4 linked regions of the Xenopus tropicalis genome follow. The protein of the gene in region 1 binds, or shares a complex with, the protein of each later gene. Links are inferred from orthologs where the notes say so. Each region holds a gene or a part of one and is shown in the gene's direction. Other genes may lie near its edges. The genes, in order: lsm4, lsm3, lsm8 and usp39.

Region 1 (4,194 bases):
AGGCCGAGAATTATCCCCATGTGGCACTAGCCTAAATTCTAAGCCCCAAATGATCGGCCAATTAGTGATCTCCAGGTCATAGCTACACCCCCTTAAAGCACTAACGACTCTACGACATCACCTACAACCCCCCTGATGTCACCCGCCCTGCCTACCTTCCGGATTTAGCTAAATGAAAAGATGACATCCCTAGTTGGAATGTGAATTTCTTTTTCCATAGATTATTAGCAACCCACATTAAATCTAATTGCTTGCCTGATACCCCAGGCTGGTCCTCCTGTTCCCTACAAAATTGCACTGGCTTAGGGTATTTCTAAAGAAGCTGCTCTTCACCATATTGTTTGACTTCTTTGTTCCAGTCCAGGCAGGCATATAAGCAGTAAAGTGAAAAACTGAGCTTTTTCGCCCTAACGCGCCCAAAGAAATGAAGGCAGAAGAGAAGATTGCACCAAAAGAGCTTCTTCAGAAATACCCTGGTCCAGTGCAGTTTTCAGCTAATAGGAGCACTTTCCCAGGGCATCAAGTAAGTGATTTTAATAAACAGGATTAATATTTTTCAAATATATGTCAAACCCAAAAATAATCTTTTTCCTAATAAAAGAAAACTTAATTCTAAGCAACTTTGCAATATACATTCATTACATATTTGTAATGGTTTTTGAGTTATTTGTATATATATACCAGCTATTAAAAGCAGTGTCTGCTTGTCCTTTTTATTCTCTACCCTGAGGGGTCTGGTGTTTGAAACAATGTAACAAACACCAGCAGATTTTACAGACCTGACTTGCTGGAGGAGCCTGGCACTTGCAACATTGTTTAAAATGTAACAACCAGGAGTTCAGCAAATGCTGCTTTCTATAGCATTACATTACATTTACAAATAACTTTTAAAGCACTAATAATCTTTAATAAATTGATATTGGAAAGTTGCTTAGAATTGTTTTCTTTTATTAGGCAAAACATTTTTGGGGGGTTGACATGTCCTTTAGCGCGCTGTGACTAGATATAATGAATAGCAGACTACCCTTCCACAACTACCAGAAACCACACTTCCCTTTGTTCGCTTAGTCATACTAATTTTAGAATACTATATAATCCCCTCTGCACCAAATAAATGTTTGTTTTTCTACGTCAGTTCCCTATAAGCAGAAACTACAGAACTCCTCTTTCCCTTAACCACGATGGCAGCGCCTTATGATCACATGGCCTGTTTATTCGACACCACCATTGGTGGATAGGACTAGCCCGATACTATTGGTACAGGAAGGTGTCACCAAAGGCTTCCTTTGCCCAACAGTCTCTGCGCTTGTTGTCTGAGCAACGGGCGGAAGTGACCGTGAGGGAGCGCGGTACAGAGCGAAACATGGCGAGTTACCTGGGTGGGACACGGGGTTTGACTACATTCGCCTGCGTTGTTCTTATAGCTAGAAATGGCGATATACTTGATTTGTGTGCTTACAATTTGGGCATGTTATAACCATTTAGTCTTACTAGTTTCTCTGTCACTCCTAGCCGGCATGTATGTTCCCGCCTGTCCTGTTAACTCATTGTTACACAGAATCGTCTCGGGTTTTTTTTAGTTCTATCAGGGTCCCGTTGCGGGCGAGCTCTGCAGCTTTATTTGTCTGGGTTAGGGAGAAGCTGGTGGAAGGACCTCTTGTGCAACATGTTTTCTTTAGATAATTGATTGGCTCATATAATCAGTGAAGGGGGATTTTTGGATACTGGTCTGAGAATTAAATATTTTACATATATTATAGGCAAACTATACCCCCTGACTGAGTACTTAACCAACAGATACATTATTTACTAAAAAGGAACCTATTAAAGAATGTTACCAAATTGGAATATATATTGGTTAATATTGGCCTTTTCCACATTGAGCCACCATTTAGTGATGGGCTGTGTGCTCCCTCAGAGATCACGTCAGGGAATAATGCAGCTCTAGTGTGTATTAAGATATTATTCATATCTTTTCACATTTAATTATAAGTTTTAGATTTCACTTTTTTGATTAACTTGTATAATTTGTGCTTAGTACAGGGCGGGCGGTTTTTCTTTGGGAGGCCCTGTAAGATGTATATTTGAAGCTTTGATATAGTATGTGCTTATTACAGGGCTTTAATGGTAACCCCGAAAAAGCTTTTGATATAGTAATGTATGATATATGCTTGTTACAGGGCCTTAATGGTAACCCTGAAAAATGTGCAAATTAAAAGTTTTGGGTATAAAAAGGGAAGTGACATGGGCATTCCTCTGATGAAGCACTTAGTGTGCGAAACGCGTTAGGAAGGAGAAAGGGTGCCAGGTAGCATGGGATGTACCTTCCATTTGGTATAGTATGTTTTATGTTATGTTTTTTGAATTTTGTATTTAAATTCTGAGCCAATAAATGGTTGTGTTTTTCACTGAATAATGTGTTTAATTATTGTATGGTATTTCAGGACCTTTCAGTGAGATACATCTTAGGTTTTCTTTCTCAATCTTACTAATTGTTATTTAATAATGCAGCTCTACCTGTAACAGGAAGAAATGTGGGAGTAAAAGTCAGAACTGTCCCCATTAATTGGCTCATGTACCCTAACATATATGTGTGTTTGTGTGCACTGTGAATCATTTCATAACAGGGGGTGGCCCTTAGTAATTAAAATGACTTTTTTTTTAACTTAGAATTATCCATGGTCACATACTGCTACAAAAGTATATTTTTATGAAAATTGTGTATTTTGATGAAGCAGTGCTTTAACTATGATCTGCTTTTTGTAAAATATTATTTTAGAGACCTGCATTGTTTGGGGGTATAGTTTTCCCTTGGCAATGTCCATCATGTGCTCTGAAAGTATGCATTTATAAAGAGTTAGTGACACAGCATATCATTTAGATTTTCTTTTTGAAAGGTCTTAGCAATCTTACTTTTTTAACTTACATCATGGGGCATTGTTCATTATTGGGTAAAAACAGATTACATTTTAAACATAATAAGTGAATGCAAAGTCCCAAATTAAAAAATTGTGCAAAAAGTCATGCATCTGTATTAAACTTGGTTAGAAAGTTCAGTAGTTAGTATAATAATAAGATAAGCACTACACTGGTTTTAATTTTGTTTCATATGCTTACTATTGAAGTGTGAAATTTTGGCATAAATTCTACTGTATGGTAATAGCTTTTATGTAATTAAGGTCAACAAGGATGCTTATTATTATTATTATTATAGTATTATTTATTATATATTATATTATTTAAAAGGACACATCATTATTGAAATAAAATAAGTTCTGCATCTTTAATAATGTGCCATCCAGCACACCACAGATAGCAAAATTGACAGTATAAATATGTTGCTTAAAACCTCTTATATTGCAAGTGTGTAATAAACAAGATAGGCAGAAATTGGAGTAGCATCATAAATAATTAAATGCTCCTTATTGGTGGGCTTGTTTCAAAGGGGAAGTTAACTGTTGCATTGGCATTAGGCATGTTATAGCTGGACCTGGCCAGGGGCTCTTCCTTTTTGGCTTTTTTCAGTCTGAAGATACAAATACTGTCAAGTTGTTGGGATCCTTGACCCTGGCAACTACAACAGATTTAATGTAAAGCTTTATTTTATTATTACAGGTCGTATTATTATTATTATTCCTTTCATCCCCCCCTTATTTTTACCTTGCAGTTTGATTTCAAAAAAGCTTTTTGATTCTTAGCATCCACATATGTTTTTGTTTCAAGCATTAGAATATCATTTTTTGCATAAAAAAAATTAAAAAAAGAAACAATCTGTGGCAAGGTGTAGCTTGTATTAGAATCCAGTTGTATATGCCTGAGTTAAAGTTAATCCTAAGGTCTCACTTTAATGACTTTAGTAAGTACAGAGTTTTGAAACCTATGTAAATGGGTTATTTTCTACAGGCCTCACACACTTGGGTCCAAAACACTGGTAAATTGACCTATTCTATCAAGATATATTGAAATTGCTCATTAGTTATGGCTCCGCTGGACTGCCTACACTCGTAGGCCCCTCTGCAACAGCAGGGTAAAAAAAAAGATGAAACAATGAAACAAATTGAAGGAGATATTGTCCTTGTGGAGGGCCCTAAAAAAAGCTCCACATTTGTTCTTTTGGCTTTCAGTCTGACAGCCTTGCTCTAAACAATCAGTGGGAATGAAGTGTTTTATTTTTCCTTATTTATTTAATGAGGC
Region 2 (4,354 bases), on another chromosome or scaffold:
GTTGTAAAACCAATCAACTCAACCAAGATGACTCACTGTGTTTGTTTTCCAACTGTTTTCCCATCATTTACAGTCGGTCTCTTGGCTACACAACTTTGCTTCGTCAGACTGTCACCGCAGGAATCTTTACTCTTCTTAACTGGGGGTCTCTTCTCTTCATAGAATTTATCTTCGTCATCTACATGGTTAAAACAAGATGCCCCTTTATTAAATAGGAAGGATGAAGAGCTAAGTGCAAACGACCTGTAATGTTCCACCAGAGCCCAAAGCATTGGTAGTTAATCATTTAGCACAGAAATAAAAGCCCATGCACAATTCAAGGGCTAACTCTGCCTATCTTTTAATATTGTCCAGATGGCATAATACTAACACAATCTGCAACTGGTCTTTATTTTTTATTTCATCTGGTCTCTGAATTATGTTGTCAAGGTTTGTATTTAATTTATCTGGTTTCTAGGGGTTACCTTAGCAATCATAGAAGAATCTTAAAACCAGTATAGTGAATAGTACAGGGCTGATGCCCATAGGGTTCAATCTGCACTCACTACAGTATTATTCCCAGCCTATTTAGAAACTCTGCACAGTGTCCCCATACAGTACCTATAAGAATTAAGTCTATTTAAGTCTGTGAATTAAGTCTGTGTTTAGATTTCATTTTACGTGTTACTGTATATCATTCACAAGATGAATGAAAATCTCTATAGACATGCAGACCCCATAGAAACTCACCACCATGCAGGGAGTCTATTGCCGGGCGGTTTCTCTGCTTGTTCCCCGCTACCGCAGCACCCTCAGACCCCCTCCGCTTTGCCATCTCCCCACAATTCTACCTCACATGTCCCCTCTGGTTGTATAACCCACACAACAGGAAACAATCTGTCTCAGACAATAACATTAACGCGTCACTTCCGGAACATACACATGTGCACCCCGCTGCCAGGCCTCCGCCACTTACTGCCCATACTCTCACATTATTGGCTGAGCTTCACATTCCGGCCTCCGACACTTACTGCCCATACTCTCACATTATTGGCTGAGCTTCACATTCCGGCCTCCGTCACTTACTGCCCATACTCTTACGCTATTGGCCGAGCTTCACATCCAGGCCTCCGCCTCTTACTGCCCATACTCTCACACTATTGGCTGAGCTACACATTCCGGCCTCCGTCACTTACTGCCCATACTCTCACGCTATTGGCCAAGCGTCACATCCAGGCCTCCGCCACTTACTGCCCATACTCTTACGCTATTGGCCGAGCTTCACATCCAGGCCTCCGCCTCTTACTGCCCATACTCTCACACTATTGGCTGAGCTACACATTCCGGCCTCCGTCACTTACTGCCCATACTCTCACGCTATTGGCCAAGCGTCACATCCAGGCCTCCGCCACTTACTGCCCATACTCTCACGCTATTGGCCGAGCTTCACATTCTTCCTGTGGCACATAAATATCGCGATAGGAGAATTGTCAGGGTTCTCGGCTATTTCCTTTGCGCGGGGTTTTGAAGATGGCGGACGACGGAGAGCAGGTAGGGATGTGGGTTTATAAGACTGGAAAACAGGTTCTGTTCGGTTCTCGGCGCAGTGCGGCATAAGGGGTGCTCCTGGCCCGGTCTCGCTTGGGAACGCGTATAGGGTTTTTTTATGTTGCGGGGAATTAAGTGAATGTTTATTCAAACTGGACTGTTTTCTCTTTTATTTCAAAGCCTTTTTTTTTTTTTAATCGTGAAGCACCGGTGGAGTGTGTTTATATTCATAACTAGCGATGTAAATCTGATTAAAAACCCAGTTGTTGTGGTCAGGAGTAAAATGAAATGTATGTTCTGTGTGGCTGATGGCGTCAATATATTCAAACAATAGAAGCACAAGGCTTGTTTTAGTTTCTATACCTCAGATTTCTGAGTTTATCTCCCAATTGACTCTTGACTCCTGTTTTTTAGGGACACATCCTATAAAATTTAAGAATATACTAGTGAATTATACTCCTAGATATAGGATTGTGCTTAAAAAAAAAAAAAGTTGTTTCGGACTGATTTGAGAATCCCCCCAAACCCCACTAGCCCCGCCCATCTGTTCCACTTCCTGCTGGCTGAATTCTCTGGATGTGCAGGGGAGCCGGGGCACTCTAAGATAGGAACCAATCAGCAGCTAGGCTGACCTGATAGGGAACTGAAGCCTGTCTGTGCTTTTGTGAGTGCAGGGCTGTGATTGGCTCTCCCCCTCCTACTGTTCTTCTAGCAGGGACCGTTAGGACACGCCCACCCCTCATTTGAAACACAGACAGGGACCTGAGAGGATCTATAGGGAGCTCCAATAAAGGGGCCATTGTTACAGATAGGGTTAATGTTTAGCCCAAAATGAAACCAGCACCGGATATTATTCATAATTGCCTACAAAATGAGGGGTTTTCCCATTTATCCAACATGTCTCCTAATTTACTAATGTGTCAATCCATGTTGATTGGAAGAACACAACATACATTTCATCACTGCCAAAGCTCAGCAGTTTGAAAGCTGTATGGAGGTGGTGCATGTTTTTGGGAGCAAACTAAATAACTACTGGCTAGGCAGCTGGTTCACTACCCTATTGGCTGCCCAAGCGGGTCTAAATCTATAACCTAAGTCTGTCATTTTGGCTTTTTATTAAAGACACCACAAGCATTCCTTAAATCTAAAGTTCAAACAAGACAAAAAATGAAAACTGTAAGGTTTTAATAGCTCAGGTTACAAAACAAAAACTGTAGTACCGTGTTAGCCAGTGTCAAAAATAATAATAAAAAAACAACAAGACACAAATACAAGAGTATTGTACTTCACACTAGTGAAACTACACTCTGGGCTTTATTTATAATTAAAATACAAATAGTACAGTTACATTAAAGGTATAGTGCTAAGTGTCCTAGACAAGAGGAAGGAGGTCCCTGCCCCACAGACCTTACAATCCCATGCAGGGGAGAAAAGAAATGCTATTTGGTAACTGTAGATCAAATCTGACTGCTCAAAACAATAAAGGTGCCCATACACAAGCAGATTTTGTCATGTGAAACAACCAGTTTTAAGGTGGCCATACATGGGCTGATTCTAGCTGCCGATATCAGTCCCTTAGACCAATTCGGCAGCTTATTGGCCGTGTATGGGCATTAACGACAGGCCTGCCCAACTGACATCGGGCAGATCTCGATCAGGCAGGTTTAAAAATCAGTCTGATCGGGGACTGCATTGGCTCGTTAATGCAGTCCCCAAACAGACAGACGCCTATGGCCGTCGTCCTAATTCGGACATTTGACCCTGGGGCCAAACGACCGAATTAGCCTGATATTGCCCACCCATAGATGGGGATATTGGGAGAAGATCCGCTTGCTTGGTGACTTCGCAAAGCGAGTGGATCTTAGCGTGTAAGGCCACCTTTACAGTGAACCAATAAAATTTGCTTTATTATTAACTTATTGTTACATTCAGGGGGAAACGATTGTAAAATATACGATCATTTCAACTGCATTGTCCCAACATTTGATCAGATGGGCTTGACCGTTTTTGTCATTAAATCAGTCAGTGGATGAGAGGAACAGATCACAATCATTAGATTAACATTCCCTGCACAAGTCTTTATTTTGATGGGCTAGGTTAAGTGCAAAAGTAAACAATGGAACAGACGGGCATTGGCTAATATATGTTCTTGGAGCCAGCACAACAAAGATATGACAAGTCTTCTCATATATTGACAAATGATCAAGCAAGCTTGAGTTTAGTTGCCTGAGGACCTGCTGCCCTTCACACTTCCCCCCCCCCCCCCCCCCAAAGGTCCTGTGGATGCTGAGTTACTAAACTCATGCAAATACTCTGTACCCCTGCAAGCACTGACACTTGATTGTGTGGCTTAAAAGACTGCTATTGCTAAATATTTGCAACTTATTCACTGGAATATAGAATCAGAAGTGCCATTACTCGTTTAAAGGAAATGTAAACCTTCGAAAGACATGGGGGGGAAAAAAGTCAACTGCAAAAGTGCTCTGAATAGAGTGCTGGGCAGTTTTGAGACTGTTTTCTTGGGTTTACATTTCCTTGAAAGTACTTTTTATAATATCATAATTATAAGGAGGCTAATATATCACGGCACCATCTGCAAAAGAAAGGGGACCAGAATTTGTGGTAAAAGCAGATGATTATTACTTTGCAGCTAAGGGGTTAAACAATATACAGGCAACTCTTATGTATCCAGCAAAAACAGTTTTAAGATAGAGGCAGAAACACAGGACTAGGTTTAAACTGAAAACTATAAATTGAATCATACTAAAAAGAAACTACCGCTCAAACACACAGAATAACTTATTAAGCAGACATGTGGCCCAGTGTT
Region 3 (4,316 bases), on another chromosome or scaffold:
TCCAGTCTGTCAAAGCACCTCTCCCAGACGATCACTTTGGTTAAGCTGGTTAAAAATGGCCACTCGACTTAGAGAAAAACATCATTTCTACAGTGTACCTAACCCCTCGTGAGTCTGGGTCTCCTCTTAATGCACATAAAACATTAATTTTTTGTTGCTACCAGTCCATTAAGTAGGGAGACGTTATTACTGACACCCATTTATTTTAGGTGACTTTAAGGGTCATATCAACCACTAGGTGTGGCTAGTGTATATTAGCTAGTGTATATTAGCTGGCAGAGAAATGCCTAAAGCCACCTTAAATTATTGGGATGGAGTATAGGCAGTTTTGCCTGTTTACCTGCTCACTAAGGGGCTGATTTACTAATCCACGAATCCGAATGGGAAAAATTCAGATTGGAAAACGAACATTTTGCGACTTTTTCGTATTTTTTGCGATTTTTTTCGTCGCCGTTACAACTTTTTCGTAACCATTACGACTTGCGCGAATTGTCGCGACTTTTTCGTAGCCGTTACGATTTGCTCGTATATTGTCGCAACTTTTTTGTATTGAGCGCTCGTAAATGGCGGGCAAACCTTTCAGACTTTGCATGATTTTGGAAGCCTCCCATAGGACTCAATGGTACTCTACAGCTCCAACCTGGCCCAAGAAAAGTCATGATACTGAAGCTTGAATGAATCCGAAACTTTTGTACTCGGCGCGACGGCTCCGAAAAAGTTGCGATAATTTGCGCAAATCATAATGGTTACGAAAAAGTCGTGACAATTTACGAAAAAAATCGCAAAATACCGATCATTACGAAAAAAACACATTCGGAGCATTTGTGGATTAGTAAATGTGCCCCTAAAACTCAAGACAGCACAAGCAGTGCTATTAGCCTATGGAGGCACTATCAGTTCAGGCAGCTGAATCCTTCACCAGAGGAAAGGGAAGGGGGGGGGGGTGACATCACTCCAACTTGCAGTGCAGCAGTAAAAAAAGACAAGTATTTAGAGCAGGGCCACCTGGACTAGTAAGGAAATGGCTAGCCCCATGTGTTATTATTAATTATATAATAAACACGTATTCCCATGACAGTATTGCTTTAACCCATGGTTCAAAAACATAATTTCACTTCTAGCAATAGGTTTCTCTCTCCAAAATAAACCTGATTACTAGGGATGCACTGAATCCAGGATTCGGCCTTTTGAAAATGTAACCTCTCCGTAACCTAATCAGCATATGCTAATGAAGATTTAACCCTTCCATAACCTAATTAGCACCTGCTAATTCGGATTCAGTTAGGTATTCTACCAAACCCTTTACAATGGATTCGGCGCTGATTACATATGCGATCTTTACCACATCAGAAACGTTAGTTATCTAACATCATAACTGGAGTCAAAGCATTTTCCCATACAATATTCCCTCCTATTATCTTCCCAGCTCAGAAATACGCTATCATTAAGAAACCAACGCACACACACACGCACAAAATGAATGCAAACTTCAGATAACGCGCACTTGCTCCTTTCACTAAGGGGCGGGGCTTTGCTCAGTCGCCTAACAATGACGTAGAATTTCCTCGCTAGAGCCGTGGATTTCCTGCGCGTGTGTTTGTAGTTGCAGCGGATACGATTCCAATATGGCATCAGCTTTGGAGAATTATATCAACCGTATCCTTTGTTGGGGTTGTTGGCATAATATGCGGAGGGCTTGCACTGAGAACCTATGGTGTGCGACTTTTAACCCGACGGTCAGAATAAACATGCAGATTAGCAGTCTCCCCTGCTCTCTGAGCTCGGCTGCTACAACTCTCTGATACCGGGGTATTGTGGGAAATGTAGCCTAGCACGGCTTGGGGGCTATTGTTTGGAAAGCGACTTGTGCTAGAGAAATACAGTATGTGGGGGATGCATGTTACTTCATCATTCGTCTGAGGGTCCTAAGTAGCTTTAATTACAGTTTATCGTCCGGTTCCTGTATTCCCTGGGGGAACCCCGACTTACTTATCACAGGGCCAATGTTGACCTGGGCTGTAACCCCTAGCAACCAATTACCAGTTAGCGTCTGTTTTTTTATTTTTTAGCCAGCTGAAAGTATAACAGGTGGTATTCATTTTAAACCTCCCTTTTAAATGAATGCCTGTTAGTGCCCTTTCCCCCTGTAACTTACCTATAGTGTGAAATGCTCAAATCTAATGCGAGGGGATGATATTATACATGGAGTGAGGGGATGATATTATACATGGAGCACGGGTTTGCCTATGTTACATTTGCTTGGCTATATTATTCTATGTTAAATTAGAACTCTAGTAGGAAAACTGCTGTGGTCCAGAAGCACTGACATTCAGTAATATACAGTAATACACTATTGTGCGGCTAGTAGGAAAAGTATTTCATTTTTCAATAAAAAAAAGTGAGAATTTTTCAGTACATCAGTATAGCGTTTTATTACAGGTACGGGGCCTGTTAACCAGAATGTCCTGGACTTGGGGTTTTCCGGATAAGCGGTCTTTCTGTAATTTGGATCTCCTACCTTAAAGGAACAGTAACAGCATAAAATGAAAGTGTTTTAAAGTAATTGAAATATAACGCACTGTTGCCCTGCAATGGTAAAACTCGGGTGTTTGCTTCAGGAACACTACTATAGTTTATATAAATACACTGCTGTGTAGCCATGGGGGCAGCCATTCAAGCTGGAAAAAAGGAGAAAAGGCACAGGTTACATAGCAAATAACAGATAAGACACCATTGTATTCTACAGGGTTTATCTGTTAGCTGCTGTATAACCTGTGCCTTTTCTTCTTTTGAATGGCTGCCCCCATGGCTACACACCAGGGTTTATATAAACTCTAGTAATGTTTCTGAAGCAAACACACAATTTTTACCAATGCAGCGCAGCAGTACGTTATAGTTTAATTTCTTTAAAATATATACATTTTTTGGTGTTACTGTTCCTTTAAGTCTACTAAGAAATAATTTAAACATTAAATAAACCCAATAAGGTTGATTTGCATCCAATAAGGATTCATTCTATCTTAGTTGGGATCAAGTACAAGGTACTGTTTTATTATTACAGAGCAGCCATTTTTAAAAATCGGAATTATTTGATTAAAATGGCATCTATGGCAGATGACCTTCCTGTAATTCGGAACTTTCTGGATAACGGGTTTCCGGATAAGGGATCCCATACCTGTACTACAGGTTTATATAATGCATTAAAAGCAAAAGTGGAGAAAACATTTTGCATGATTATATACAACAGGGGATCTTAGAGCAATAAGCAATATTGGGTACCGGAAGTCAGAGGTATCATAAACTGAGGATTTGTGTACTGACTCCACAGCCCTGGGGGCTCTTAAGCTGAGTGATGTACCCCATTGGGCACTATACAGTATACTGACGATATGCAATAAATAGTAAATTAAAGGAGGGAGGCATCCTTCATTCTAAACCAAATTCTGGGTTACAAAGCTGACTCCCAGAGTAATATAAATTACATGTTAGAAGAGACGGGAATGTAAGCTGCACTTCTGGATACAAAATTGAATACATTAAAAATAATTTTTGCAAACTTCAAAATGCTTTTTCCAACATTATATTATGAGGTGTTGAAGTAGACTTTTTATTTTTTCAAGGATCCATGGTCCAAAAATTCGTAATATTAACTTCACTTGTGGCCCCTGTAGCCTGACTACCCTGTAATGTGTTTTATGCCATTGTCCAACCTTAGAGAAAATGTGAATATGTTGTAGTTAAGGGAATCGCACACATTACAGTAGATGATGCATTATAAAGAACTCGTTTCACTTTGAAAATGGTGCTCTATATTTTTTATGATAACGTTTTACAGATTAAAATAATTCCTTGACATAAGATTCAGGAACTGTAGCTGTAATTACATCAGATGGTAGAATGATTGTGGTAAGTATTTATTTACTTTACTTGCTTAATATTTGCTATTAGAATTACATTCATATATTTCCTCAGCATGTATCTGTAGGTGGAGCCAGGCCCAAGATCCTTTGGAGGAGAATAAGCAAATCTAATGAAGCAGTGCTTCTATCTGTACTGTGTTTTGTATCAAAGTGCTTGGCTAGGTACAGATGCTCATTTTTCACCTTCTGTTGACATTACACTTTGGTCCTGAAGTTCTGGTTGTGGCAAGTTCAACCTTTGCTATAGCTGCATTTTTAAGCACTACACAAAGTGAATGCATAGCCATATCTAGAAGGATTTAATGATCCTAAGGAGCTGCTTTTTTATTTTGCTTATGATGATGTCTTGTCTGGGGCTCAGTGAATCCTGATCTCTAACTCACACTTTATTTTCAG
Region 4 (4,203 bases), on another chromosome or scaffold:
GTGGCACATGAGGAGGTTGTGTACATTTGCCCCTGCATGATTTCAGCTCAGGGGTGACTAAATGTTCTATAATGCCCAACCACTAATCACCAGTCTAGGCCCTTCCAGTGCACTCTTGGGTCAGGTGATAATCGTTAGGAAATGGCTAGTGCCCTGTTTTTGAGCATGCCCACACTGGTATATAGTAATTTTGAAAACAACCCAGAATGCTAGTAGACCAATGGCTGTGACAGTTTGACATGCAAGGCTCCTGCAAAGTTCCTAAAAGGTACCTAGTTTGCCCATGAGCAGTAACCCATATAGGGTTGCCATCTTCTGACTGGGGAATGCCTGTGTGGGAGGCAGAACGGTGATGTCATGGGGTGAGGCGGATGATGTTGGAGGTGTGGTCTATGACATTGAGGGATTTGGTGGGGTTATGACATGGCGATCGGTGCCAGGAGTTCTGTCCGATTTCCCTCATTTGGAAAATGGGGCAGGGAGTTTGACCCGGACAGACAGACGTGGCAACCCTAAACCCATAGCAACCAATAAGATATGTGCTTTACAATAGGTGACCAGTAAATTCTACCTGCTGACTGGTTCCATCAGTTGCTGCTCCTGGGAAAACTTAGTGCCTTTTATTAAATAGCCCCATCCAAGTTTAAAAAGGTGCGGACTTTAAAAGTGGGTGTGGTCACTTCAAAATCTCAACAGGAATCCGCTAGAGAAGCATGAATGGGACAGCCCTTTTGGAACTGAACAGCTGCCTCCACTGCCCAAAGGAGTTTGGCTACACAAATATTGGAATTTCAGAAGCAAATCTGTCATTTATTTAGCAAGGAAACACTAGTTCATATTTCAGTGCATTTGAAGTCCTGCCAGCTTTAGGAACACAAGTACCAGGCAATGCCATGGCAGGGATGGTATATGAATAGATTGGCCCCAACAGCACCAGTATAACCTTCATGGAAGCAGCCCCATGGCCAACACTACGTGAACAGTCTCAGTGTTTCTGCTTTTTAAAGGAAAAAGTTCCGGCCGCTGCCAGCCCTATTACCTCGCGATCTGATTCCGCCGGATATGGTGAACGAAGCCGTGATTCATATCCAGCCTCCCACCGGGCCCGGCTTTGCCCTGCACCTCCACTTCCTCCTGCATACTCCCGGCTCTAGTCTACTTCCAACACGGGCACCCTTTCAATCCCAATACCGCCCCCTAGCTACCGCTGGTAGGAACTATCCCGTCGCAGCCGATTGTAGGAGAGATAGCGATTGGCTGTTTTTGTTTCGACAAAGGCTAATGTAGCCAATCAATGCATCCCTGACATTAGCGTTCCGTGACTCGTTCCTGTTGTATAGGAAAGTGTACGGAAGCGGCGTGGGGGAGGGGCTTCAGTCCAAAGAGAGGCGAGACACGCAGGAGAGTCGGTGGAGGCAGAATGAACGCTGAGAAGCGGGTGAAACTGGAGATGGAGGAGGAAGACGACGACGATGATGATGATGAGAGAGGTGAGGGAAACTCATTCTATTGATGCGACTTGGTGTGAATAGTGTAACGGATTGATTGAGTAAAAGCGAATGAAAAAGAGTGGTGCACATGTGTTAGCGTGGGGGGATAATAAATATGTGCTTCCTCCGCTTGTGTCTGTCACTGTGTCAGAGAAGGAATTTCTCCAGGGCCCTCACCATTACTAGGGCCCCCACCATTACTAGGGCCCCCACCATTACCGGGGCCCCCACCATTACCGGGGCCCCCACCATTACCAGGGCCCCCACCATTACTAGGGCCCCCACCATTACTAGGGCCCCCACCATTACAAGGGCCCCCACCATTACTAGGGCCCCCACCATTACCGGGGCCCCCACCATTACCGGGGCCCCCACCATTACCGGGGCCCCCACCATTACCGGGGCCCCCACCATTACCGGGGCCCCCACCATTACCGGGGCCCCCACCATTACTAGGGCCCCCACCGAGAAAATATGGAATCCCCCCCAAAACAGGATCATTAAACCTGTTTTGTCAGTGCTCCGGCCATGTCTGTGCATGGTGTCCCAGCATGGTACCTCTAAAGCTGGACACAAGGATGGCTGATTGGACCATTTAGGTCATTAATTTCTGTATGAAACTAGGTTCACATTTGCTGCCACCCTCTGATCCCTACCTGTGATTTTAGCCCAAGTAATGGCAGTGTCACTCTTCCATAATGTTTTCCTGGCAATCCAAGTGTGATTTGCAGGCCAAGCAGTTTAAGTGGGTGATACAGGTGAATTGTGCATGTTTAACTTCAGAACTGTACATATAACATATATATAACACGTGCATGTAATGCTGGCAGTTGTAGGAAAGCACGGGCGGTATGACTTTGAAGACAGACGTAGTCGCCATTGCCCATATCTGGATACCATTAACAGGTCAGTCTGGTTGTTTTGCTTGGGACTGTGTTGATTATGTACTGCTCACAAATAACACTGGTTCTGTTCTTACCAGGAGTGTCTTGGACTTTGATTTTGAGAAGCTGTGTTCCATCTCTCTTTCTCACATTAATGCATATGCTTGCCTTGTATGCGGGAAATACTTCCAGGGTAAGTAAGTGGCACAGAGTGTGTTGTTCAGATGAGCCCTTATTTTGTCAAATTTTTCTCTTTTTTTTTTTTTTTTCCCCCCCCAAGGTCGAGGCTTGAAGTCCCATGCCTATATCCACAGTGTTCAGTTCAGTCACCATGTTTTCCTTAATCTGCACACACTGAAGTTCTACTGCCTGCCGGACAACTATAATATCATTGACTCCTCCCTGGAAGACATTACGGTACTTGCACATCCTCTCTTGCCCCATTTGTTTATGTGACCTTGGCATTTTCTAATATGAAGACAAAAAATCAGGATGGCCCAGTTCATATTTGCCCAAGGTGCAATCTTAGTGCCCAGTACAAGTGGTATGGCGTTCCCAGAGTTTTTAGAGTGCACTGTTGACTTATATAACACAGGTGTCGGTAAGTTAAAGACTCTTATACTCTTAGACTCTTATACTCAAGAGCAACAATCCCTTCACTAACTTGATGTGTCTATCACAACACATACGTCTCCTTTAGTGAGTTCAACCACAGCCAGCAATTAGGATGGGAAAGGTAGAATAGCATATTATCCGCAAAAGAGCCATGGATCACCTGTACTGCTCTGATCATGCAACACACAGCAGGGCATACATCAAAAAGCAGATTTTATGGTCAGTAACAGGGAAACATAAGCCCAGTGATGGCAGAAATGTCTAGCTCCACTAGCTGCCTGTTGCCTTAGCATTTTTCCCCTTCCTTTGGCTGGCCCCCATTCTTCAGTACAGTCTTTCAAAGTTCTTTTTTTTTTTTTTTTTTTTTTTTTTTTTTTTATATAAGTGTGAATCTACACATGGAAACAAGGACTGGGTTTCTCCTTGGATTGAGAACATAGATGGCCTCAGGCCATAAGAGAGAAAGGTAGCTGTTCTTACAGAAGTAAAGGGCTTTGTAAAATGTGCACATTATTTCTATACTGTCTCTGTCTGTTCAACTGTGTCACCCCCCCCCCCCCATATTAACTTTGCTTTTCATGTTTTTAGTAACTATCTCTTTGTCTTCTACAGTATGTGCTGAAGCCAACCTTCACCAAGCAGCAAATTGGTAACTTAGACAAACAGGCCAAGCTTTCTCGAGCATATGATGGTACCACTTACCTCCCAGGCATCGTGGGACTTAACAATATCAAAGCTAATGATTATGCCAATGCTGTTTTGCAGGTAGGAATTTTCACAATATACAGGGCCTGTGTAACAGTTAACCACCTCACCTTCACTGCAGCAGAGAATCATCTCTCATCTATTTCACTGGATGCCCTAACATTCATCAGTCTGAAACACTTTAAACACTTTTGCTCCCACAGACCATAGTGCAGATTTCATGGCCAATGTACACTAATTTCTTTATGGTCACTTCCAGGCTCTCTCCAATGTTCCTCCTCTGAGAAATTACTTTCTGGAGGAAGAGAATTATTGTGATATTAAGCGCCCTCCTGGGGATATCATGTTCCTGCTTGTGCAGAGATTTGGGGAATTAATGCGCAAACTGTGGAACCCCAGGAATTTTAAGGCTCATGTCTCCCCACATGAGATGCTCCAGGCTGTTGTTCTTTGCAGCAAGAAAAATTTCCAGATCACCAAGCAAGGTGAATATCTCCACCCCTCTGTCC

The links.
Region 2: lsm4 (region 1) and lsm3 share a complex: the UniProt entries of both Homo sapiens proteins name them as parts of the precatalytic spliceosome. The link is inferred for Xenopus tropicalis from reciprocal best matches to the Homo sapiens genes LSM4 and LSM3.
Region 3: lsm4 (region 1) and lsm8 share a complex: the UniProt entries of both Homo sapiens proteins name them as parts of the precatalytic spliceosome. The link is inferred for Xenopus tropicalis from reciprocal best matches to the Homo sapiens genes LSM4 and LSM8.
Region 4: lsm4 (region 1) and usp39 share a complex: the UniProt entries of both Homo sapiens proteins name them as parts of the U4/U6-U5 tri-snRNP complex. The link is inferred for Xenopus tropicalis from reciprocal best matches to the Homo sapiens genes LSM4 and USP39.

What each region holds. Positions count from the first base shown.
Region 1 is NC_030677.2:103,364,905-103,369,098, forward strand, and holds the start of lsm4 (U6 snRNA-associated Sm-like protein LSm4), read left to right. Parts: upstream 1-1,337; 5' UTR 1,338-1,363; coding exon 1,364-1,366; exon of another isoform or gene 1,367-1,379; intron 1,380-4,194. UniProt on the Homo sapiens protein: Plays a role in pre-mRNA splicing as component of the U4/U6-U5 tri-snRNP complex that is involved in spliceosome assembly, and as component of the precatalytic spliceosome (spliceosome B complex).
Region 2 is NC_030680.2:132,918,302-132,922,655, reverse strand, and holds the start of lsm3 (U6 snRNA-associated Sm-like protein LSm3), read left to right. Parts: upstream 1-1,496; 5' UTR 1,497-1,509; coding exon 1,510-1,530; intron 1,531-4,354. Other genes in the region: xpc (DNA repair protein complementing XP-C cells), read right to left, coding at 37-178, 730-814. UniProt on the Homo sapiens protein: Plays a role in pre-mRNA splicing as component of the U4/U6-U5 tri-snRNP complex that is involved in spliceosome assembly, and as component of the precatalytic spliceosome (spliceosome B complex).
Region 3 is NC_030679.2:68,680,141-68,684,456, forward strand, and holds the start of lsm8 (LSM8 homolog, U6 small nuclear RNA associated), read left to right. Parts: upstream 1-1,499; 5' UTR 1,500-1,625; coding exon 1,626-1,656; intron 1,657-3,865; coding exon 3,866-3,906; intron 3,907-4,316. UniProt on the Homo sapiens protein: Plays a role in pre-mRNA splicing as component of the U4/U6-U5 tri-snRNP complex that is involved in spliceosome assembly, and as component of the precatalytic spliceosome (spliceosome B complex).
Region 4 is NC_030679.2:125,759,309-125,763,511, forward strand, and holds the start of usp39 (U4/U6.U5 tri-snRNP-associated protein 2), read left to right. Parts: upstream 1-1,395; 5' UTR 1,396-1,420; coding exon 1,421-1,490; intron 1,491-2,320; coding exon 2,321-2,396; intron 2,397-2,472; coding exon 2,473-2,567; intron 2,568-2,654; coding exon 2,655-2,791; intron 2,792-3,601; coding exon 3,602-3,754; intron 3,755-3,953; coding exon 3,954-4,179; intron 4,180-4,203. Other genes in the region: UPF0561 protein C2orf68 homolog, read right to left, coding at 1,040-1,140.